Macaca mulatta: one gene and its partners. The protein of the gene in region 2 interacts with the protein of the main gene of each other region in a pairwise test. Links are inferred from orthologs where the notes say so. Each region holds a gene or a part of one and is shown on either strand. Other genes may lie near its edges.

Region 1 (3,646 bases), on a different chromosome or scaffold from region 2:
GTGACAAGTGGGAAAAGATACATACTCACAGCGAGGACTCTAGACATGTTAAGACAATTTTTAAATGTGCTTTTGGCTTCGAGTGGCAATAATTAGACTCAACATATTTAAGAAGCTACTGATGAGAAGAAACGCTGGAAGCGCTGAAGGACCACATCAGCCCAGACCAAGGATGCTGAAGCAGCATCAAGGCCCTTGGTTTCAGAGGCTCCACCAATGACCCTTTTTTCAGGGAGACCCTGTAGGAGCGAGTTTTGTCTTTGCCCAGTGGGAATCTGTCTTCTATACTTAGAAAACAGGGTTACCCATGTTGCCCCTGCTACCCTTGGGTCATCTCAGAGACACTACCAGATATTACCTATGAGACCTAGTTGTTTTTTTTTAAATCTCAGGAAGGACTTGGGTGTGGCTTCCAACGTGGAGGACTCAGTAGCTTCAGAGAGGGTCCTGGGAGAAGGTGAATCGGAGAATAAGGGTGCTGGGCAGAGGGAAAAAGACATTATTATACAAGTTTGTGCTAAAAGATATAGCAATCCTTCTGCTGTGGACTAAGTATGGAAAAAAATAAAATGGAATCAAAGTGACCCAAAGGAAATGTAAAACTCAAATTTATGCCCACTAAAGCATTAATGATGCTCTAAGTCCGCTGCCTACTTAAAAGGTTCATAGTTCACATGGGTTGACAGGAAATTACGTTAAGGACACGCTGCATTTCTCCTTTTCTTACAACCCCTCTGATTTGGTAGGGAGGGAGTCAATCATTTTTTTATTGGAATTTCTCAGGATTCCAACTTCAGACATACACTTTACACATTTTCTTGGACAAGCCCGACTGTTCCTCTCACTCGTTCGCATAAAGCTCAAGTTTACACAGCCGCCCAGACCTTTCTCTGGGACGCTCATATTTAACTTAATTCTGGATATATCAGGTAAGCGTTTCCCAAGAAACTTGACCCCAACATCCCAAAAACTTAAGTTATCATCTTTCTCCTAAACTGGCCCCTTCTCCAGTACGCATCCATCGCACTCTTCTCCTGCCCTAGATCCCCTCAGCCCAAACGGGAAACCCCGGGATCGCTCTCTCCGCAGGTGAAGCTTAGCCAGGGACCCTCCCCGTCGGGGCTCCGCGCTGCCCCGCCCGCCCCCAGCCGCTGGCCAAGGCCGCAGTCGCGCAGGCGCAGTGCCGCGTCCCGCCGCCGCCCCGCCCTGCCCGCCGCTGCGGAAGGCGCCGCGCACAGCAACGCGCACTTCCTCTCCAGGAATCCGCGGAGGGAGCGCAGGCTTGAAGAGCTCCTGGACGCAGAGGCCCTGCCCTTGCCAGACGGCGCAGATATGTCAGAACAAAGTAAGGATCTAAGCGACCCTAACTTTGCAGCCGAGGCCCCCAGCTCCGAGGTGCACAGCAGCCCTGGGGTTCCGGAGGGGGTTCCTCCGTCCGAGACCCTGGCAGAGCCGCAGAGCCCTCCTTTAGGCCCGACGGCCGCCCCGCAGGCCGCGCAGCCTCCCCAGGCCCCGAGCGACGAGGACGACCCGAAGGCCCTGCAGCAGGCCGCGGAGGAGGGCCGCGCCCACCAGGCCCCGAGCGCGGCCCAGCCCGGCCCGGCCCCGCCAGCCCCGGCGCAGCTGGTGCAGAAGGCGCACGAGCTCATGTGGTACGTGCTGGTCAAGGACCAGAAGAAGATGATCATCTGGTTTCCAGACATGGTGAAAGATGTCATCGGCAGCTACAAGAAGTGGTGCAGGAGCATCCTCCGGCGCACCAGCCTCATCCTCGCCCGGGTGTTCGGGCTGCACCTGAGGCTAACCAGCCTGCACACCATGGAGTTTGCGCTGGTCAAAGCGCTGGAGCCCGAGGAGCTGGACAGGGTGGCGCTGAGCAACCGCATGCCCATGACAGGTCTCCTCCTCATGATCCTGAGCCTCATCTACGTGAAGGGCCGCGGCGCCAGAGAGAGCGCGGTCTGGAACGTGCTCCGCATCCTGGGGCTGCGGCCCTGGAAGAAGCACTCCACCTTCGGGGACGTGCGGAAGCTCATCACTGAGGAGTTCGTCCAGCAGAATTACCTGAAGTACCAGCGCGTCCCGTACGTGGAGCCGCCCGAGTACGAGTTCTTCTGGGGCTCCCGGGCCAGCCGCGAAATCACCAAGCTGCAAATCATGGAGTTCCTGGCCAGGGTCTTTAAGAAAGACCCCCAGGCCTGGCCCTCCCGATACAGAGAGGCTCTGGAGGAGGCCAGAGCTCTGCGGGAGGCTAATCCCGCTGCCCACTGCCCTCGCAGCAGTGTCTCCGAGGACTAGCCAAGTCTGGAGGCAGATGAATGCTTTCTGATCCTCACCAGGGCTGTGGAAGGGTGGGGGTGGGTCATTAGAGTGTTCAGGATTTACAGTGCAGTATTCACGTGTAACTTTTACGTTTTCAGTACAGTGCTTTTATACCTTTAATGCAATGTTGTGTTCATTTGGGTACTATTGTGTAGTATTTAGGATGTATGCATGTTTGTTTATATGTAAGCTTGGTTGGTGCTTTCGCTTTTGTGGTACCTTTCTTGGATTTTTGTATCAGAGACGTGCTAAACTGATGAAGTACATTGAGAACGTTTCCATCTTATTAATTTACATGGGACTGAGATGTGTGTTGGGGTAGACTGCTCCTGCAGAGTTTGGAAAAACTCACCAGCAAAGCCGGCCTAACCAAGAAATGTCAAGGCCCTCATGACCTTGCTGGGGACTGAAAACATCCTCGTGGAGTAAACTAATTTGAACTGGACTGGTCTCAATGTGAGAGCACTTGGCACACTTTACTAAACACATATACAACCCCACCGTGAGTCAACTTTAAAGTAAACATTAAAGATTCTTGTGATACAATCATTTCTGGAAGTGTACGTTATCATTTTAACAAAGCAGTATGGTTGGGAATGAGACAATTCTCTGTTTTACAGTATACACAGATATAACTATTTCCCCTAATGGGGTGGGAAAAATCGCTACTCATGATTACTCCTAAATTTGTGAAGTTTGTAGTTTTGTCTTTAACTCATGTTTATTTCAAAAACATGCACAAATATAGAAAAGCATAAAAAACAAAACAGTAAGATTGTCCATAATCACATCCTATGGGAATAAAAACCAAAAATAATTTCCTTCCCTTAAGTTTCTACATTTTATCAAAATTAATAGATGCTTTGTGGGCACTTAAAGAGTGAGACATTGTACATGAGCCCTGACGTGTATTTTTCTCCTTTTATCTAATCCTCACAACAGGCCTGTCAGGCAGGCAAGAACTGCCTCTGCACCATGGAGGAAACACAGGAATAATGTAGGTAATGGACTTTCCATAGCTCATACAGGTTAATAAGAGAAGGCGCTAGGACTAGAACTCACAATGAATCCAGAGTCCACATTTGTCCCCACCTGCCTTCAACTCCCCTACACCCTGTGGTTTTTAGGTTATTTATTTTTAACTTTATATTGAAATTTCATGTGGGAGCCCACACTCACATGGGTTCATGGGCCACACATACAAAAAGGCTAGGAATTTTATTTTTCTAATTCTTAGGATATTTTGGAGAAAGCAATATCATTCTGATTCTGCAAATTAAGAAACTTACTTTTGGAGAGATTAATTAACCTAATAAAGTGATAT
Region 2 (3,512 bases):
ACCCTGTGGGGATGGGGTGGAATCTTGGGGGGTGAGCCTTCTTCCCCAGGCTGGGAGCGGGTGAGACGAGACTGAGGCCTCTACATTTGAGTGCCCCCCAAACCCAGCTGTCATGTTGTGAGCAAACAAAGAAATCACGTTACTTCTTCCAACTGATCCGTAATTTCTTGGTTCTGTTGTTTCTGTGGGGAAGAGTCAAAGGAAGGTGACTGAGGGTGGCCCCCTCAACCCTATTCCCCAGACCAGGAAGGGGTAGGCAGGAGCCAGGAATGGATTTTAAAGGCAAAGTTCTCAGACCCAATGGGAACACGAACTGCTCAACTCTCCTCAGGCTCCCAAGGAAAGGGGATTTGTGTCTTTGTTGGTTTTTGCCCACAACCACAGAACTGAAAGTCTGAATCTGGATTCTCTTGAAAGGACAGTAACATAAACCTCTAGAGATGGAGTGTGAGAAAAGCCCACCCTCTGCCAGTTTGTGATTTAGAAAGGTGTATTCATTCAACAAACATTTGCTGAGCACATATAGGCCAGGTACAGTTCTTAATAGCAGGGATATCAGACAGAAAAAGACAGACAGGAGCCCTTGGCCCTGAGGTTTACATTCTAGTGGGCCTTTAAATCTTCAACGCTCAGAGCTAAGAGACCTTTGATACTCTCTAACTCTACCTCCTCAGGAAATGCAAGCCCAAGAAGGAGAGGTGGCTTGTCCCGAATCCAAGAGCAAATTAAGGACTGAGTCAGGGTGGAAATACGGGGCTCCTGACAACCAGTCAGGCTAGTGCTTCCCCAAGAGGCAACAATCCCAGGGCATGTGTGGCAAGGACTCGAGCAGGGGTGTCTAGAGAAGAGAGAGTAGGCAAAGAGGGCAGCAACAGAAGAGCCATGCTGCATGCTCCGTGCTCTGGGGTCCCTCCAGCTGAGGCCTGGGCCCCCCAGCTCCCCATTCGCCCTTGGCACCAGGGGCCCCCTGCCCCTTTCTTCAGGGTCCCAAGGGGAAACTGGAGCCCAGGATTAGCAGCGTGGAATCAGGGGACCCCACTGGACTCTTACCAATTTCTCTATCGTGATATTGAGTTGTTTGTTTGTTACATAGCTGGAGTCCAGGGCTACCGCTAGCTGTTGGTACCGGCTCTGAGGCGCATGCAGAGAGGAGGAGTTGGAGGAGGATTGGGGGGAGAGGTAGAGAGAGCAATCATTAGGGTTGGGGGGTGTGTGGGCTGTCTCAGCTGGCAGAGGGGCACCCAGCCCCCGCTATGGGAGGAGGTTGGAGGGCTGGCCTGCAGGGTCACTGGGCCACGGCCCAGGGCCTCTTACCTCCAGATCCTTCAGGTTAGCAGATGATGCAGGGCCCTCCCCATTCACACATGTCGTAGACTATAAGAGACGAGAGTGCACATGGAGATGTTCTGTCCCCTCAGTGTCTAAGCCCTCTGACTTCCTTTCTTCCCCAGCAATTGGCAACATTTTCTCTTCTAACTTGGACCCTTTGTCCCGTAACCCCTTTGTGCCAACTTCTCTCATGGTTCTTATTTCCCCACCATCCTTCCCTCCCGAGCACCTCTCATCCAGTGCTTCTGCAGCAGGATAAAATGATGCAACCAGTCACAGGGTCCAACTCCTTCATGTGCACAACTTCAAGGGAGAAAGCTCAGGGAAAAGCCGACTTCCTCAACATTGCCCAGCACATTGGCTGGTCCAGGATCTTCCCTCTCTTGTGAATCCCTGCCTCAGTTTCTTTCTATCATAGTTCCCTTCCCCCCGCACCCCACTCTGGGCCTCAATTCCTGAGGTACCTCACAAACAAGACCATTGAGCTGTTGGGAGAGTTGTCGCAGGCTCTCGGTTGATGAGAAAGTCCTAGGGATGGAGACACAGGGGTCAGGGGTGCAGGTGGCTCAATGGGAAAGAAGGTCATGGGCAGTGGCCTCCCTGACTCTCTCGGCCTAGAGACTGCTGCCCCAACAGGAGACACTCACTTAGTTTCATCCATGAGATTAGGGACATTGTCAGCATCATGATTCTGTGTGGGAAGAAACGTATGAGATGGTCATTCAATGTCTGCTAAGAATCACCCAGGACAGGGTGAGTCAAGCTCCCAAACTCATTCCAACAATCTTCCATATCCCCAGACCTCAAGAAAAAGCCTAGTCTGAGCCTTCCCCCAGCCCATTCCCCAGGAAGAGCCCTTGGCCCTAGGGAACAAGCTACCTGTGAAAAGAGAAGATAATCCATAGTAGGTACAGGAGGGGAGTAGGCAGAGGGGGAGGAGGCACAAACCTGAGATACCGCCATGCTAGTGAGACTGGCACCAGGGGAAGGGACACCGCCAGGTAACACAGTGTCATCAGACGGTTGTAGAGAATCAGCATTGTCCTTGGGTGTCTGTCACAGAACAGAGCAGGGGGTTAGGGGGCCATGCGGGATAGAAGGTGCCTCAGTGCCATGAACACAAGGGTGTGGAACAGGTAGGACAGGTGTTGCTGCAGTCAGTGACAGTCACACATGCTAGGAGCCACTCAGGGGTGTGGATATGGTTGCCCAGGCCTTGGGCTGCTAGGCAGCATTTCAGATGGCCAAAGCTCAAAGCAGGGGCTGCACGGCCTCCTTCATGAACACGAGGACCTCGCTCTCTCTGGAGCTCAGCAAAAGACAGCAGCAGGCACTGACCTGTGGCAGCCACAGCAGGTGGGAGGAAGGTGTGCCAAAGTCAGGGAGGAGAAAGGCACTGTTCTTCCAGAAGGCCAGTCTGTGCTGCAGAGTGACCCTAACTGGGCCCCTAGTGGGCAGAGGATGGTGATGAGGAAGTAGTTGTCTGGGCAATGTAGCTATCTGCCTGCTTCTCTCCTCCTTTCCTCCCTTCCCTTCTCCCCTGCAGTGGCACAATCATAGCTCACTGCAGCTTCCACCTCCTGGGCTCAAGCAATGCTCCCACCTCAGCCTCCCTAGTAGCGGAGATTACAGGAGCACACCACCATGCTCAGCTAATTTTTATAGAGATGTGGTCTCGCCATCTTGCCCAGGCTGGTCTCAAAGTCCTGGGCTCAAGTGATCCTCCCACCTTGGTCTCCCAAAGTGTTGAGATTACAAGTGTGAGCCATTGAACCTGGCCTATTGGCTGTGTTTCTGATTCAGACCTTTCCAGGAAAAAAAAAAAAAATTACCCAACTAGAAGCCTCTCCCCAACTATCTGGAGGTAAAAGGAGAATAAACCATGGCTACCACCCCCACCCCAACCTCTTACCTCCAAAAACATCTACCCAACCAAGAAACCACCCAAGAAAACAGAGGTAAGACATCTGCCCTATGGCTCCTGGCAACTTGGAAGTTATGGGGCCTCTTTCCTGGGAATTGTACCTGGGGACAATCCTAGGATTCAGAACTTGGGGTCACATGGAGCCTCTCCCTCGCCCCCAACTGGACCTACCTGCTTGATCAGAGCCCCACCCGGCCTCTCTCGAGGCTCTGGCCTTACTCTTGACCCAAGCCTCTGGTTCTAGAGGTCTTCTAATATC
Region 3 (4,108 bases), on a different chromosome or scaffold from region 2:
CCAAAAATTAGCTGGGAGTAGTGGCAGGCGCCTGTAATTCCAGCTACTCAGGAGGTTGACAGGAGAATCGCTTGAACCTGGGAGGCAGAGGTTGCAGTGAGCTGAGATAGTGCCATTACACTCCAGCCTGGGAAACAAAAGCGAAACTAAAAAAAAAAAAAAAATCACCAGGCCTCAGACTCCTGGAAGACAGACCCCAGCTCCAACCTCCCAGTGGGATCTCATTTAACTCGACACTGACCTTCCAATTAGGATGATACACCTTCCTTTTAAAATATATTTATTGAAATACAAAGAGTCAATGTAAGGAAAAATAGAGGTCACCATACTTGGCCACAGTTAGACCGCTCATAGGCCCATGGCTGCTGTCTCTACTGGCAGAGGGAGTCCAGCTTCTACTGGTACCTCTGGGCAGGTTCACCTTCACAGGGCAAGCCAGGGACCATCCCCGCTATGTGAAACCTGGAGGTTTTCCAGAGCTAGCTGTCTAGCCATTAGCCCCACAGGCTGGTGCCCAGAGCCACTTCCACAGGAGCAGCCCCGGGCTTCACCCACACACGAGGGGCTTCCGAGGCAGGAGGCAAGCAAGGCAAAGGGAGAGTTCAGGGTCCCACAATAGCAGTGAGCAGGGTCCAGCCATCAGGCCTCAGAGCCTCTGTCATGCCACCTGCGAGACGGACTTCTCCTGTCCCCACTGTGTCCCCGCTTCCTCCTCTTACAACAGGGGGAGTTGGAATAGGAGTCGTGGTGGTGCCTGGGCCTGGGGAGACCAAGGGCAGTCACTCAGAAGGAGTCAACCAGGCTCCCACCCACAAGAGGCAGACACAGACCAGGGCATACCTCTCGGGAGATGTGGGAGAGGAGGCAGCCTCAGCTGGCTGCCTGTGCTCTTTGTCTTTCTTCTTCTTCTCTTTCTTGTGTTTCTTCTTTTTCTTTTTCTTCTTCTCCTTCTTGCTTTTCCTGTGGCTCTCAGAGCTACAAGGAGGATACAAGGCGCACCTCAGACCCTAGTCTTGCAGGCCAAGAGAGTGAACACAGACCCCAACCAGGAGATGAAGCCACCACCCACAAGTGCGTCTTTAAATCAGTTAAATCAGACTACCAATTCCACTCCTCAGTAATGCAGTCACGTGGCCAGTGGCTGCCCTGGGTTAGAAACTGATGCGATATCCCTATCTCCACAGCACGGCCCTGTTACACCCCAGCTGTGCCCTTGACAGGTTGACACCTTCCTACTTGCACCCACCAGGCCACTCTTGGGGTCAGGCCCAGGCTCACCACCCAAGAGAAGCCCTGGAGGTGCCACCCATGGAAGGAAAAGGCCCCGCCGCAGGTCCTGAGCGCCCTCCCACGGCGCAGCCCGCGACCACTGCCAGTACTTAGGACCTCTCTTCAAGGGTGACCCGAGAAACTCCCCTAGAGAAAAACCTAGGAGTAAGTGGGACAGGAAGTAAAGTAGGGCAGGCCACCGGCCGGGCCGGTGCGCCAAGAGAAGCTGCCACCTGCCGGAGCGGGAGCCGCTGAGGTCCTCCCGAGACCCCCTCCGGCGCGCAGCTCGCCCAGTAGGTGCAGCCTCACCTGCTTTCCGTCTGATCCTCCGCCCGCGGCTTCCTCCTGGCCGAGGTTGCCGAGGTCCCGGGCCCGCCGCTCTCTACGCGGTGATGCTGCGGGAGAATCGCGCTCTGGGGAAGAGTCTGAGGGCCGGCCCCACACCACGCCCCGCAGCGCCCCGGGGAGCTACGTTCAGTGCCCCCGCCCTGCGCCACCCCTGTTGGCCCCTGTTGCGGTCAGGCGGGGCGGGGAATTACCGTGAACACAGACAGCCCCAGTTTGGCGGCTTCCTTGTCCTCTCGGGACATCGCCACGCGGCCCACGGAGCCACTGCAGGAACACGGCGATGAAGACAGTCCGTCAAGGGCCCGCCTCACCCGAGCAATTCTGCCCTCCCCTGGAAACCTGCTCGCACCTGGCGCTCCCCAGCCCCAGCAGCCGGTCCACGCCCTTCTCCTCCGGGTCGCCTCCTTCCCGCTTGCAGACCTCCGCGAAATCCTGCAGGTGCGGGAGCACAGGCAGCGTTCCGGACGGCCCCACACCCACGGCCCTCCACGTGCCCCCCACTCCAGGGAGTTACCTCCTTGCTCAGGCCCGTGGGCTGCTTCTTCACGTTCTTGTAGCCACTGCGAGAGGACCAGAGCAGGCGTCAGGACGGACAGACCTCCTCCCACCACGGGTCCTCACCACTCCAGCCTTCATCCTGAGGGTCCCACCCGCGCAAGTCCCCGCAGCCCCGCCCCCGCCCAGCCCGACCCCCAGCCCCCGCCCCTGGCCCCACCCTGCCCCGGCAGCGAAGTCCCAAGCACCGACCGCTGATGTCCGCGGACACTCACAGGGCGGCCAGCAGCGCCTCCCGCTCCGCCTCCCGCACTGCTGCCAGTTCCTCCTCGCGGCTCGGGCCCGCGCACGGCGCCCGGCCCTTGGCGTACCAGGTGAGGTCGCGGCCCTTCTGCCAGCGGCCTACGGGCGCCATCAGCGAGTTGCCTGCGGACGTAGGCGCCGTGAGCCCAGCGCCCCCCGGGAGGCCGCCCGCCGCGCCCACCGCGCCCACCGCGCCCACGGACCCAGGTAGTTCTCCCGCTGCTTGTCAGTCTTCACGTCCTCCCAGTTGAACTGGTCCTGCCCGCCGCGCACGCCTCCGCGACTGGAACCGAACATGGCGCCCGGGAGGCAGTTCCCTGGGGCCTGCGGCCTGCGACCCGCAACCCCGGACCCTCTGTACCCACTACCGTAGGACCCAGGCCCGACCCCGCCTTCGCGTCGCGCGCCGTGACGTCACCCGGCGCCCACCCGGCTTCGCCCCGCGCGCCTGCGCAGCGCACCGCCCCGGCTCTGTGCTCCCGCGCGTCACCTTCAAGCAGGCTTTGGGCGCCTGCGCACTGCGCCTATCCTGCCCAGCGCGGGAACGCCTCTGAACTGTACGTTTAAAAATGGTTAAAACCGGCCTGGGCGCTGTGGCTCCCGCAGCACTTTGGGAGGCCCAGGCAGGCGGATCGCTTGAGGTCGGGAATTCCAGACTAGCCTAGCCAACATGGTGAAACCCCGTCTCTACTAAAATACAAAAATTAGCCGGGTGTGGTGGTGCACACTTGTAATCCCAGCTACCCAGGAGGCTGAGGCAGGAGAATTACTTGAACCGGGAGGCGGGGTTGCAGTGAGCCGAGATCGCGCCACTGCACTCCAGCCTGGGCGACAGAGCGAGACTCTGTCTCAAAAAAAAAAAAAGTTAAAATGGGCCGGGCGCGCGCTTGCTTGCGCGCCTGTAGTCCCAACGCTTTGAGGCTGAGGCGGGAGGATCTCTTGAGCCCAGGAGATCGCGCCACTGCGCTCCAACCTGAGCGAGTGAACGAGACCCTGTCTCATAAAAAAAGAAAACACACAGGATGCGCCTAGCTAACACCGCCAATTGGTCACTGCCAGCCGCGATTCCATATGGGGAGCTTAACAAGGTAATGCCCTAATGATTTGTGGAATTTCTGAGTATTACCCAGTAAACTTCTGGATGAACCAGCAGCTACCCAGACACCCTCAGAGCACTGGTCCCATCCTTGCCGTGGTAAACTGAATGTGCACCCTAACTCCCACGTGAAATCCCCAACCCAAGGCGTTGGTGCTTCGGAGGTGACTAGGTCATGACGACAGAGCCTTCATAAAAGAGACCCGAGAGCTTTGTGCAGCTTTCCACTGTGCGAAGGCAGCGGGAAGTCTGTAGTCTGGAAGAGACCCCTTCCCAGAACCTCAGCATGATGGGCACCCTGATTTTGGAGGTTGTGGCATCCCCCTGCTTCACCTTTCCACTTTCATTCCCAGTGGTGACCAAGAAGCAGAGTCCCTTAGCCGCTCTGTGACCTCGCCAACGGTATAATTTCGTCTGCAGACTTGAACCTGAGCCATAGCCATGAACGTTCCCAGGCACAGATGACAGCATCTAGGTTGTTGCTCAAAACACAGAAAGAAACTGGACCCAGCCTGAGCCAGATTCCTTAAACCCTCATATAAACTCCATTCGACAACCCCCTCCCCATGGACATACCTAGAGAGAACATTCATTTCT

What was found.
Region 1: the proteins of GOLGA2 (region 2) and NDN interact in a two-hybrid assay, tested with the Homo sapiens proteins (2 studies listed by BioGRID and IntAct). The link is inferred for Macaca mulatta from reciprocal best matches to the Homo sapiens genes GOLGA2 and NDN.
Region 3: the proteins of GOLGA2 (region 2) and C1H1orf35 interact in binary tests that used the Homo sapiens proteins (3 or more experiments, as listed by UniProt). The two-hybrid records come from large-scale screens. The link is inferred for Macaca mulatta from reciprocal best matches to the Homo sapiens genes GOLGA2 and C1orf35.

The regions. Positions count from the first base shown.
Region 1 is NC_133412.1:6,264,583-6,268,228, forward strand, and holds NDN (necdin), read left to right. Parts: upstream 1-1,218; 5' UTR 1,219-1,332; coding exon 1,333-2,298; 3' UTR 2,299-3,139; downstream 3,140-3,646. UniProt on the Homo sapiens protein: Growth suppressor that facilitates the entry of the cell into cell cycle arrest.
Region 2 is NC_133420.1:19,418,367-19,421,878, reverse strand, and holds part of GOLGA2 (golgin subfamily A member 2), read right to left. Parts: intron 2,383-3,512; coding exon 2,278-2,382; intron 2,021-2,277; coding exon 1,977-2,020; intron 1,858-1,976; coding exon 1,794-1,857; intron 1,375-1,793; coding exon 1,315-1,374; intron 1,132-1,314; coding exon 1,051-1,131; intron 183-1,050; coding exon 144-182; intron 1-143. UniProt on the Homo sapiens protein: Peripheral membrane component of the cis-Golgi stack that acts as a membrane skeleton that maintains the structure of the Golgi apparatus, and as a vesicle thether that facilitates vesicle fusion to the Golgi membrane.
Region 3 is NC_133406.1:85,852,801-85,856,908, forward strand, and holds C1H1orf35 (multiple myeloma tumor-associated protein 2), read right to left. Parts: upstream 2,808-4,108; 5' UTR 2,713-2,807; coding exon 2,619-2,712; intron 2,539-2,618; coding exon 2,388-2,538; intron 2,178-2,387; coding exon 2,132-2,177; intron 2,050-2,131; coding exon 1,967-2,049; intron 1,882-1,966; coding exon 1,809-1,881; intron 1,665-1,808; coding exon 1,579-1,664; intron 976-1,578; coding exon 841-975; intron 761-840; coding exon 640-760; 3' UTR 320-639; downstream 1-319.